2 linked regions of the Drosophila melanogaster genome follow. The protein of the gene in region 2 interacts with the protein of the main gene of each other region in a biochemical or structural test. Each region holds a gene or a part of one and is shown on either strand. Other genes may lie near its edges.

Region 1 (6,412 bases), on a different chromosome or scaffold from region 2:
ATTATTAGGCAACCCTTTAAAACTACACGAACAACAGCAAATCGATTTCTCAGTTGTGTTTTAATTGCGTATTTAAAACAATTTGGATCGGGCTATGAATGGAACTGATCTCTGATAAGGATGAAGAGACTTAAAGCGTACCTAAAGGATGGCATCAATGTGGCGGCGGTAATGTGTCTGGGCGATACTATATCCCAGTTCTTTTTTGATAAGAAATCGTTGGACGAATGGGATGCGGGGCGAACCCTCCGTTTCGGCATCGTTGGACTGGTGTTCGTTGGCCCAACTTTGCGCCGGTGGTACCATTTTTTGGAGTCCCGGGTTCCCAAAACCTACTCGCCAATGCGGCGGGGCGTTACCAAAATGCTGGTCGACCAGACCCTTTTTGCGCCACCCTTTACCATGGCCATGTCTTTTTTGGTGCCACTCTCCAACGGAGAGCCCATCGACCGAATCCGGCAGCGCATTCTTGATAGCTACCTATCTATATTGGTCCGCAACTATATGCTCTGGCCGGCCGCACAGATGCTAAACTTCAGATTCGTGCCGCTGGGCTACCAGGTGCTCTACGCCCAGTTCATCGCCCTCGTATGGAACTGCTACCTCTCCATGATACTTAATAGCTAGGGCACTAAGTTCCCCGCATAAGTAATACGGTGCCTGTGTATCAAATTTAACAAATACATTATTATCCTTATCTCGACATGTGACTTCGGACTGGATTTGGTTGTCGTTTTTTTAGGGGTATTCGGCGGAAAGGCTGTACATATAGAATGGAATTTATAGTATACATGTATTATAGGCACTCGAGTTTTAATCCTACAAAGCACTTCAAAAAATTTTGCTTGAAATCTTATTTCCCTCCGTTATTAGTCGGTTGGGCATGTGCTTCTCAAAATATTTACTCGATCATTTAAATTTGAATTGGATAAGCAAGATTGTATCATAACGACGTCACGCCCAATCTAACGCCCACAATTTCTGTGGGCGTTGTGTTGTTATTTTGTTTTCATTTAATTATCTGTCATGATATTGACATACCACAAAAATTTTGCCACACCCAAACTGTTATGCCCACTCTTAAGAATTATTTTTCGATTTTATTTTATAAATTCTCTTGGCTGTTTCTATCGATTTGCCAAACGTATTTTAGCCACGCCCACTGTTCCCACTATCTGAATAACGGGTAAACCTTTTATTTCTGACATTTTAAGGCAGATTGTGGGAGGTAGGGTTAAACAACAAACGTTCTGCAACAATCTTGAAAAATGTGGCGTCACTTGAATCTACATGCTCTGAGCTCTCTAGAGTTCATAGTTCCGAAAATATCAATTCTCCATAAGTTTGTTCCTTTCTACATTTCTATTTTACGATTTAGGGGAATAAACTTTTGAAAAGTGCGTCAACGGTATCTTCTGACAGTTTCCCACAAGTTGTTGATATCCTGTTGTTTAACGTGAGATAGACGATTTATGGATAGAATTTACCTTAGTAGCGCCAAAAATACCGCAAACTGCGCACGCACGAAGCTGAGAATGTAAGCAGCCAATAGTGGAATACACTTCATGTGTACATGTGCAAATAAACACCCTGCAATTCAATTCATTTAACTTTTATCTATATGTCATTTCTTAGAAAAAATCTCTATTGCTAATCAGCCCTCAAAACAGTGAAATTATTGATTATTTTTTTTTCTTACTAACTAACTAAGTCTCTAACTACATGGTCATAACAACAATGCTTTAAATCAGATGTGTAAATATGCACATCTGCAGTCGGTGTCAGTTGAAGATATTTCAATAGGTCATAAAATGTGCACAAAGGCCAACAAAAAAAAGTTGTGCCATGAAATTTTAAATAACAAAATTATGCTTTGATACAGTTTGCGCACATATTTGCTGTGGATTGAGGAGCTGTTAGCATGAAATTCTTAAGTCCAATTTTTCAATTTACATTTTCATTGTGAACAGACCTTTATAGTCTCATCACACTATCGATATTAAAGAAAACGAATATATTAAATATATTTATTTCATTTTTTAATAATGCTCAAGGAAATTAGAGAGATAATAAATATTATCTGGCTTGGGAATCAAACCCCTTCCAAATTACTTTCGTACGAGTCATTACACAGTAACAACAAGACATTTTCCATGTACTCGTGAACATTACATTTTGAAGTGTGCCATCGGTTAATTTAGGTATCGATAGTGATAGGTATGAACGGGTCTTAGGACTAACAACTAGTTGTTTAATTCTCTCCTCTGCCTTATAGTATCGATAACATTTACATACAATGATGTGTAAATTAAAGTGTGGTGTAATTCGAAAATAGACAGAAATTATGTTCAGTGACTTGCGATGTAAAGAAATAATAGTTAATGAGTGAAATATAGGAAAACAAACAGTAAGCCGGATTTCCGATTGTTCACTAGAAAACTATCGCCGTTCCATAATTCAGATATACATACAAAATTGTCATTTTTTGCTAAATATTAAAAAAAGTGTAATAAAATCATTTAACGTTCCAGTGTATATTGCATTGCTTTAGAATTATTAAGAAAATACAAATTTTCTTTAACTGGTATACAACGTTGTATGTATGTAAAAATTAAAAACGGCCATGCAATCATTTTGTTTTATGTACTTAAGTATATATTATATTTATGTAAATAGTATTTTTAAAAAGTGTGGCTCTTATTTAAATACATTGTTAGCTGCGTTTCACACATACGAAATTAAATGCATCATGCATTGGGAAAGATAGCAGCAAAATAAAATTTGCTGTATATGATGTGCATGTGTATGCATATAAATATATACATTTTGTATAGATGTGTGTGCACCAGAATATCCCAAAAATTCCAAATGCAAAAGATCGAGTTTTACTTCTCTCAATAATCTTTGCCTAAAAACATTTAAACTAAGTGCACTTACATTTTACCGGTTTATTATATGTATTTAAATTCGGGCGCTGGCCAAATTTGTATGTATGTATGTGCAGTATGCATATATGCATTTGCAATGAAATTACCAAATATTGTGCACGCTCGCCCAAATTTGAAATCCTGGAATAGCCGTGAATATACTTTAAAACTACATAAATTCTCTATAACGAAATGGCTTGGAATAAGTGGCCTGAGTGCGAATATATGTAAGTGGAAAAAAATTGAACGTTTGGAACTGAATTTGTTCAAAGTTTTACAATTAATGTGTTAGGTAGAGGAAATTTTTTATTGCAAAAACGAGATATGCTTATATAGCATACATAGGAAACTCCTTAGCTTGGGATTTCCATTCCATTAATATTTATAGCATGATATGGATTCATGTTTAATATATATGTACAGTTGCGGTCAACATATTAGCGGCAGTAGCGGAATATATTTTGGTCGGTTATAGTCCTATTCGGAGACAGTAAATGGTAGAGCACGTTGGTTCATGAATTATGCTTTGGGTGAGATTTTCATATTAAGGAGTTGAGCCAGTATATCTGAAGCTCCATCTTCAGTTCCGTCACCGGGTTCTTGCTTTGCCGAACCAAGCGCTTGGATGCTTGGAGAGCATCCAAGTTGGACATTGAAGGCTTTCCTCGCCGCGTTTCGTTCTTTTCGACAAACAGCAGTGATTTGCGGATCATTTTGTTTGAACAACCGACAATGCGACCAATTTCAGCGTAGGTTTTACCTTCAGAGATCACGTTTTTAATCAAATTTCTTTTTTCGACGGTACAATGCTTTCCGTGACCCATGACTAGAGAATTTTTGGTCTTCGTTTGGAGCAAATTCAATTAAAACCTTTAATGCAACACCTTTTTTTCAAAATTTGTCGTAAAAAAAACCAAAGCAATCACTCCCATTAATTTTATTCAGCAAATACGTTTTCAGTGCTATTTTTGTTACCGCCTCATTTCGCGCACTTTTGCAGCAAGTGCCCAAAAACAAAAAGAACCGTTAAATTGAGAGACTAAAAATTTATTGCTCAAAGAGGCAACATATGGTACTTATTATTCATGCAATCTGGCTTAAAAAAAAAAAAATTTATAATTTTTTTTAGGATATCAATTTTCCACCTGCAGTAGTGCTATTATTTTAACCTTAACTGTAGTTTCAAAACTATTTGTACGACATCATTTTAAACTATGCGATAAACTACCCATGTTTCAGGGAAGTACACTTACAGCCAACCCACAGTTTTTGTTTTGACGTGATTAAATTTTTAAACTGAGTTTTTTTGGCTGTGAAGATTTTCAAAATTACGATTTATTGGGTGTTCACGAAATACATTTATAATCTATATGTAACAGCATTTCAATGTTTGGTGATCCACACAAATAGAATTCGAAAGAATACTATAGTCGAGTTCCCCGACTCAGATACCCGTAACTCAGCTAGTGTGAATGCGAACGCGAAATTGCTTTATTTTTCTGGGATATCAATATTAAGGAATAAAATGAGAAAAAATTTAAAATTTGTTTTAAAATGTGAGCGTGGCAGTTTTGCGCGGTTTTAGGGCGTTAGAGTGGGCGTGGCAACATAGGTTAACAAACTTTCGCTCCGTATTTGTCTTTAGAATCTGTATGCTGAATCTCAACCTTTTAGCTGATATATACAGCTGTGTTCATAAAAATAGCAGTGCTTGGGACTTGCGAGTTTAGGATAAAAAATCATATGATTTAAAGTTGTAATGGGAATTTTTTTCATAATTTTATTATTATATCAAACAATTCAACATATGTTTCACTTTTATTTTTTCAATAGATATAGATTAAAACAACATAATAGGCAGAAATTCTGGTGTTCACTGAAATAGCAGTGATATGAAAAAATAGTAACAACATGACTTAGAACTAACATAGTTTTTTTTTAATGTGTTAATTAGGGACTAATACCTGGTTGGATTGCCTTTTTTAGCCAGCACAGCCTTACACCTACTCGGCATGGAGTCCACGAGGACGTTTGGGGGAATTTTTGCCCATGCATCCTGCACAACTTGCCAAAGCTGAATCTTGGACATCGGGGAATTCTTCGACACGTATTGTTTAATGTCCCCCCACAGGTTTTCAATCGGGTTTAAATCGGATGATGGTGCTTGCCACGGCATTGCATCTATTCTATTTTGGGTGAACTTATTCTTAGCCGATTTGCTTCTGCGTTTCGGATCATTATCCTATTGGAATGTCCATTATAAGGGCATATTCCATTCAGCATATGGCAGTAAAACATCACTAGGTATATTTACATACCATTAATCATATGTATGGGACCCACACCGTTGTATGAAAAACAGGCCCATACCATATTTATGTCCACCGTGCTTAACATTCTTGAGTGTGTGGCTTGGGTTGTACTCGGTCTTTGGAGGTCGTTGGACATACTGTCGTGAACCAGTTCCAGTTCATATTTTTGACTCATCAGTCCAAAGGATATTAAGCCATTTGGAGACTGGACAGTTTCTGTAGGTTTTAGCGAAGTTTAACCTTGCGTTCATTCGTACATGGCCAGATCGACTCGGCTATTGATCCTGATCAAGAATATATTTTCTTTATATGGTCGGAAACGCCTACTTCTGCCAGTTAAATAATTATCAACGAATCTAGTATACCCTTTACTCTACGAGTAACGGGTATATATATATATATATATATATATATATATATATATAACTACTTTCCTTATTGTTTTTTCAGGTTTACATGATGGTCATACAAGTTATTGCTCCAAGTTAAATTATCTTGAATGGAACGGATAATAAAAATTGCAAGAATGACACCAACGCAAAGGAAATTTTAATATTTACGTAAAATTTCAAATAAATAAGGGACATACAAGCGCCTACAAGTAACAATTTCATAAATAAGGTAGCTTTGATAGTCCTGTTTAAGGAGCGATTGTGGAGATGAATTTTGTTCTTAGTGTGTTGTTAATAGCAATTCTTAAAGATAAGTATGATTACTGGCTGCCATCGAGGACAGGTTGTCAAACCCTGGCAGCAAATATATGGTCTGACAAGACGACTGCGCAAAATGAGCCGATAAATTTGACTAATGCAAATGCACCGATAAAGAATGCAAAGAATCTGAATTCTACGATTACAAATGTAGCTGCGTTTGACACCAAATTGAATCACCTATTAGTGGACACCATTACTGGACGAGTCTTCGTTGGTGGTGTTAACAGGTTGTATCAGTTGTCGCCTGATTTGGAGCTTTCCGAAACTGTGAAAACGGGGCCTCAAAATGATTCCGTCGAGTGTAGCATTCTTGATTGTCCATTAAATGCAGTTCGCAGTCCGACGGACAATTATAATAAGGTCTTGCTCATTGATCGTGCAACTTCAAGACTTATTGCGTGTGGATCACTATTTCAAGGTACATGCACAGTTCGTAATCTTCAAAATGTCAGCATAATTG
Region 2 (6,208 bases):
GGGTATTAAAATAAATAAAGTTTTAGTTATTCAAATGCAACCTAAGAACTTGGCAAAGAAATTGTTCAAACTGGCATCTTTATGTTTTTACTTAATAGCTACCACATTTTTATCAACATTTCCAAATCACTTGTTGTCGGTGTCCCTTTTCTGTGGTTCCCACTGTAGCCGTATCTTAAGTGTTTGGTTCGCCTTTGTTTTCCCGACCGTCCAATCATCTGCTCCACTGTGCCGGGGTATCAGCGTGCTTTGTTTACATTTCAAATGGAAATCGCTCCGTTTTGTATCTCTGTCTGAGCTCCGATATCTCCTGCTGTGTGTCCGAGGGTATATTCCGTATCTGTCTGCAAAAGTGCATTTCAACCATTTTCGGTTTGTCCTAATGAGTCTCGTCCAATGCCCACACCCTTCGCACTCAAGCAGTCGTGTGTGTGGCGTACGCAAATATCGAGAACGACTTTTGCTGACCCTACCAAGGTATGTCCTTCCTTATCCTAGAACGTGGCCAAAGGACAATACGTGCGCTAAATATAGATATTTCCCGGCACGACCGATGTGCATCCACTTAACCCTTGAAAAAAAACAACAATTTTGGGAGCTGAAGGCAACAAGACCCAGTGTTAATGCATTTTCGAACATCCCAATGTATCTGGCATAAAATACGTTCTGATTTTCCAGAAAATTAACTCCACCATTTCCTGCGATTAATCTTAATCCAAATGACTATGTTTATAAAAATGCGACACTTGGATTGCTCTTACTATATTTAATAAGATATTTATTTCTAAACGTACCTTTCCAAAAACTGTCCAGCAAAATGAATTGTTCAAAAGTTGAAACTCCGTAGACGTTGGAATCCAAAATATTCTGAAGATTACGCAATTGATTAGTCCCAGCGAGTCCTGTTTATCGTTTGTTTGCTGACATTGATCGATTGATTGGGCTGTTGTTGTTGTTGTGGTTGTTCTGATAGCTCGATTATCGATTCGCACACACAGACTGGTGAATTGGAATTTTTTGATTCGCACCGATCGCTTGTCGTACTTAAACAAATTATAGACACTTACACGAGACAACACCGAAGAACACAAATTTGTTATATTTACTTTATACGCAGATTAATGCCAGCGGACGACGATGAATAATAGGATAACAGCAAGAACAACAACAACGATGCACGACGACGACGACGACAAATATTGTACATATGTACAGAGGATACAAGGACTCACGCACACAGATGCAGACGCAGATGCACGGGCGCGATAACGGTTATATCGGATATATGAATAGACGAAACGACGAACGGGGGGGCGGGGCGGTGCGGTGCAGGAGTCGAATTAACGCGACGGCGATTATCCCTTAACGGTACCGGTTCTTCATGCGATAAGTAGGCTACGGATGCGATTTCTGAGCATATTTTCTTGGTTTATTCTTTTTCTTTATTCAAATTTGCCTTATTCACTTTGTTTCTGGCTTAAATACTGTGGAAATGGGAGAAGGAAAACTGGATTAGATTTCAGTTTCCCAATCAAAAGTTATGGCCGCAGGAAGAGCTTATCTTGAACACAAATATCTGGCATGTAGGGCTTTTTGAATTAAAATTAATATTTGCTACGATATGAAACACGATTTGATGAAGAAATGATCAAGAAATATCAATTGAAACACTTTGTAATTCAACTTTTTTCCTGATAAATTTCTTATTATGACAACAGTACTTTAGTTTTCTTTTTTTGGTTGGCAACGCGCTGCGGAGAGATGCGAATGGGGGGCACAAGGCAGAGTCGAAAAACATTATGCGGGGGGTGCGTGAGTTTGAGGAAGAAGAATAAGAGAGTGCTGCTCTCTCCCACTCTTACTCTCACTCTCTCTGAGTCAATTTGAAACGCCGCGAGAATGAAATGCAGCGAAACGAATGGTGCACAAAACGTGGCCAGGAAAATAGAGAAATAAACAAAATATAAAAAGGATAATCCCAAAGAGAGAGGGAGGGTGGGTTAGCGAGAGCCAGGACCGTTTCATTCCCAAAACGTACCCAAAACAGAATACAAAAGCCTGGCTCTCCTTTCAACTCTCTCGCCCTCTTGCTCACACCCGCAGGATGGCGAAAAATCAATGAAAAATATGTGGAAAAATTGCCGAAATTGTATATTTTTGTGGATTCGCTCTGCTGCGGCCTAAACTTTGGGTGGAAACACAGTTTTCGTTATTTTCTTTTTCTAATGTGCCATAATATTCCAATTTTGTTGTGATTGCCAATTGCAATTGGGCAATTTTCGGCTTTATTATTGTTGCACACAAACACTCACACTAGCTCTCGATTGCACATGTTTCTAAATTGAGCAATTACCAATTTATTAATTAATGTACACAATGGACAAATCACTTTTCACAATTGCGCGACACAAAGGTAGCGGTGCTGGAATTTGTTTATCAACGCGAAAGAAACATTTATATCCTTGTCGAATATCCGGAAATTAACAAGAAAATATCTTGAAAAATAATATTTTACAAGAAACCAAATTTCGTTTTATGCAGCGTTTCTACCGGCGATTTATCCAATATTTTTGTTTATTTATTAATGCTGTTTTCAGATATTTTCCAACCGGAGCAACAACGCGCTGCAGCAGCGCGGGCGTTAAATTTTCGAATGAAAAGGGAACTCGCACGAAAGAGAGTTCAGTCTCAAATGGCACTTTCTCTGGCGCTAGGGCATTTTCCGCGCGTTAGTGCGTTTTCCAGCGCTGACTGCGAAGTCGCGAACGGTCACTTTTTCGGTTCTCTTTTTCTCTCTCCTCTCTTCTCTTAACAGCTGGTCAACAAACAATATGCAAATTAAAAAAAAAAACAATAAGGATAATTATTTTATTGACCTAAATATTAAACTAAGAGCGTGCTACTAAAAATTTATATAAAAATTGCAGGCCATAACACCATGTTATTTATATTACCGAATTTTATTGGAAAAAATGTTGTCTATGGCAAATTGAAAACATTAAAAAATATTAATAAATTTTTATCTAAAATTACTCAAACGATAAAATGCTTGAGCTCTTTTATTTGTTCACGCAAAATTGGAAAACACATACACGGTTAAGTTTCTTATTTCATAAACATATTAGTTTCTTGTGTCCTTTAGAAGGAACACGCTTAAAGAGAAATTTTAAAATGAGAGGCTCTCTTCAATAAGCCCTCTCCTCTCACTATTTCCTTTTCGTTGACTGAAACTCCCCCTCAATATAATCGGCCGCTTTAAACTCTTATTCTCCCTCGCGATACTTAAAATAATTAATTTAGTTATTCAAAAAAAATCAAGAATATTTTGAAAATTATGGAAAATACATAGTTTCAATTCAAATAGAAAATAGAAATAATGTTTGAAATTTCCGTCGTTCCGCTCTCAGTGGGCGCGGGTGAGACTGCGCCTGTCAAGGGCGTTTGTGTACGAATTTTGAATATCAACAATCTGAGGGCACGTGTAGAAAAAAATTTTTAAAAATTATATATTAGGAGAACACTTCTATAATCAGAAACCATATTTAGTCACCAAAAATAGTTCTTCTCGAATAATAAATACGTTTGGTACCTGGTACCTAATTGAAACCTGGCAGCTCTACACTCTTTTCCTATTAGGTTCTCTCTTAAAACGCGCTCTCTGTTTTGCCGGCCGTTTATATGTATTGCTTTATTTATAATTTACAATTTAACCAATTCACTTGGACACGCTTCTTATTCATATTTGTTTAATTCACAACTTAATAAATTATTAGGGCACTCTACGAAATATATTGTTTATGTTTTTATATGAGCACCTTGCAAATAAAACAACTAGAATGTTTTGTTGTACAAACAACACACACGCCAATACGAATGAAAACTGGTCGACTAGCGTTGCCATTGGGAATTTCTACAGCCAGTGCTACCATATTGGGTGGTAAGCTAAATGGGTCCGGCTTACAGTTACCCCTTAACAAAACTTATATACCCGTTGAAATGTGTTTCATTATATATCACTTCCAGGATGACCTAATTAAATATACATGTTTGACGTTTTTTTAAGCTATATGGTGCAATTTTTTATTTTAATTTGTTGGTCTGAAACATGTATTGCATTACTTAAATTTTGAAATTAAAAAATTAAAAAATTAAATTAATAAATTAAAACAATCAACAAAAAGTAATTTTTACATCTCTCCCCGACGGGGAATTGAACCCCGGTCTCCCGCGTGACAGGCGGGGATACTAACCACTATACTATCGAGGATGTTGTCTACCCACTGTCAAACAACCGTCTCGAGCTTGCACACTGTCTTCAGAGTACAAATGGGGAACAGATGAAATTGAAACAAGCATTCACACTCCGCAAACGGAAAACCCGAGTTTGACTCACTTTGTATAACATCCTCGATAGTATAGTGGTTAGTATCCCCGCCTGTCACGCGGGAGACCGGGGTTCAATTCCCCGTCGGGGAGATAAGTGCATTTTTTTTCAAGCTCGCATTTATTTCTTTTAAAATGGTACAAATAGATATCGTTTAGATTTTTATAAAGATTTATTAAGTAGGATCTTTAATCGCTGTTTTTTGTGGTAAAATACAATTTATTTTGTAATATCAATCATTAATTCAAAATGAAGTACATCTGAATACTGAGGAATTGTTTGGACAAGGTCATTGCTTAGAAGATAATACAGAAAACGCATAAGCAGGTACTAAAGGCTAATAAATTTAAAACATTAAAAACATGGACAAAGTGATTAACAAATAAATATGTATATCTGCAGTGCGACTAGTCAACCTGCTTGCCCTCGTCGCGATTTCGTTTGAAGGACACGGAATGAATAAGTAAGGGCGGTAGATTGCCACGCAGCATCTGGAGTCGTTTGCTCTTCTCCTTCTCTGGCCGTCGCAGTTCGTCCTTGGAGGACCCGGGCGAGGCAGAGGACGAGGCCATCGATGGCGACATGGAGGCCAGTGAACTGGCGCCGGGCAGCACCTCAGAGCTCTGGGTCAATAGCATGGCAGATCGACGGAAGTAGCGCGGCATGGAGTAATCATCCTGTGTGGCCCGAGCAGCATTCGCCGTTTGAATGGAATAGAGACTCTGCGATACCCGGTACTTCTCAATAGTGGGCGTGTCCTCGTAGTTCTTAGGCAGATTACTGAACGATATCGATGGCACCTCCGGCGTCATGCTGATCTGACTGCTTCCGGTCATCGTACCGCTAATGGAGAATATATCCGTCTCACTGGCCGACGAACGGACATTCATGTGCGGAACGCTCTTGGCGGATCGCAGGATCCGTTTGGGCGTGGTCGTCAGTCCACTGGGGTTGGCCAGCAGATGAGGATGCCGGTCGATGAGGCGAGGTCGCAGCACCACCTCCTCCATGATCTCCTCCTCCTCATCGGCCTTGTCGTCCTCCTTCTCCTCCTCGGCAATGGCCTCGAACTTTTTGGGAGTAAGTGTCGTTTGGCTACCCGACGGCGAGCATTCGGCCGAACTGGGAGCCAGGGTGAAGGTGATTCGCTTCTCGGTCGATCCTGTTCTCGCATCAGTGGCATCTCCTGCAAAAAGAAGATATACTCCGTTTAAAAAGTGTTCTGCATTTGCAAGTAACTAAACCCATATTATTTAGAGATATTGTCCTGATTTCATTGTACCCTAATTAGCCAGCTGCCAGAGAGGACAATATTATCTTTGGAAGAGTTGGAAAAGTAGATGCCATTGTAAGACGCATAAAAGGTTGGCAAACAAGATAACGGTTGAGTTCATGGCAGATAGGAAAGATATGTGCAGATAATAACTAGCCCTCGACTTTGGCTAAAATGGAAATTTTAGAGGCGGAACTTACTAGTTAAGTTTTATAGTAAATTTAATAGATTATTAGTCTTGCCTTCTTTTGACTTAATATTTCTGTACTCTTAAGATTTATAAATTTAATTTCATTTGACAACAAATACCCAAGCAATTGGGTAAGATGCATTTAAGCATCAAATGAGTCGTACCTTATCAGTATTATTTTTTATAGTATTCATTCTGATTCAGTCAATATTTTAGTATATAATTGCAATAAAATTTTGTTTCTTTATTTGGATAACAACATTGCGCTTTCAAGGCAAGTCATTTTCAAATATGTACATACTTAGTAAAGTCGCTTTGATAGTTTATTTGTGAAATGAAACTTAAAAGTAGGATAAAATTT

What was found. The genes of interacting proteins can lie anywhere in the genome.
Region 1: the proteins of Sema1a (region 2) and PlexA form a complex in vitro, tested with the Drosophila melanogaster proteins (2 studies listed by BioGRID).

What each region holds. Positions count from the first base shown.
Region 1 is NC_004353.4:1,022,958-1,029,369, reverse strand, and holds the start of PlexA (plexin A), read left to right. Parts: upstream 1-2,268; 5' UTR 2,269-2,407; exon of another isoform or gene 2,408-2,600; intron 2,601-2,834; exon of another isoform or gene 2,835-3,154; intron 3,155-5,689; 5' UTR 5,690-5,898; coding exon 5,899-6,412. Other genes in the region: mitochondrial inner membrane protein MPV17, read left to right, coding at 121-627.
Region 2 is NT_033779.5:8,539,820-8,546,027, reverse strand, and holds the start of Sema1a (semaphorin 1a), read right to left. Parts: upstream 3,882-6,208; 5' UTR 3,816-3,881; intron 2,816-3,815; exon of another isoform or gene 2,313-2,815; intron 1,485-2,312; 5' UTR 795-1,484; intron 1-794. Other genes in the region: CG17834 (uncharacterized protein), read right to left, coding at 4,792-5,570. UniProt on the Drosophila melanogaster protein: Involved in growth cone guidance through its role in axonal repulsion. Function in neurons is essential for adult survival, motor neuron survival, and is important for climbing behavior and activity.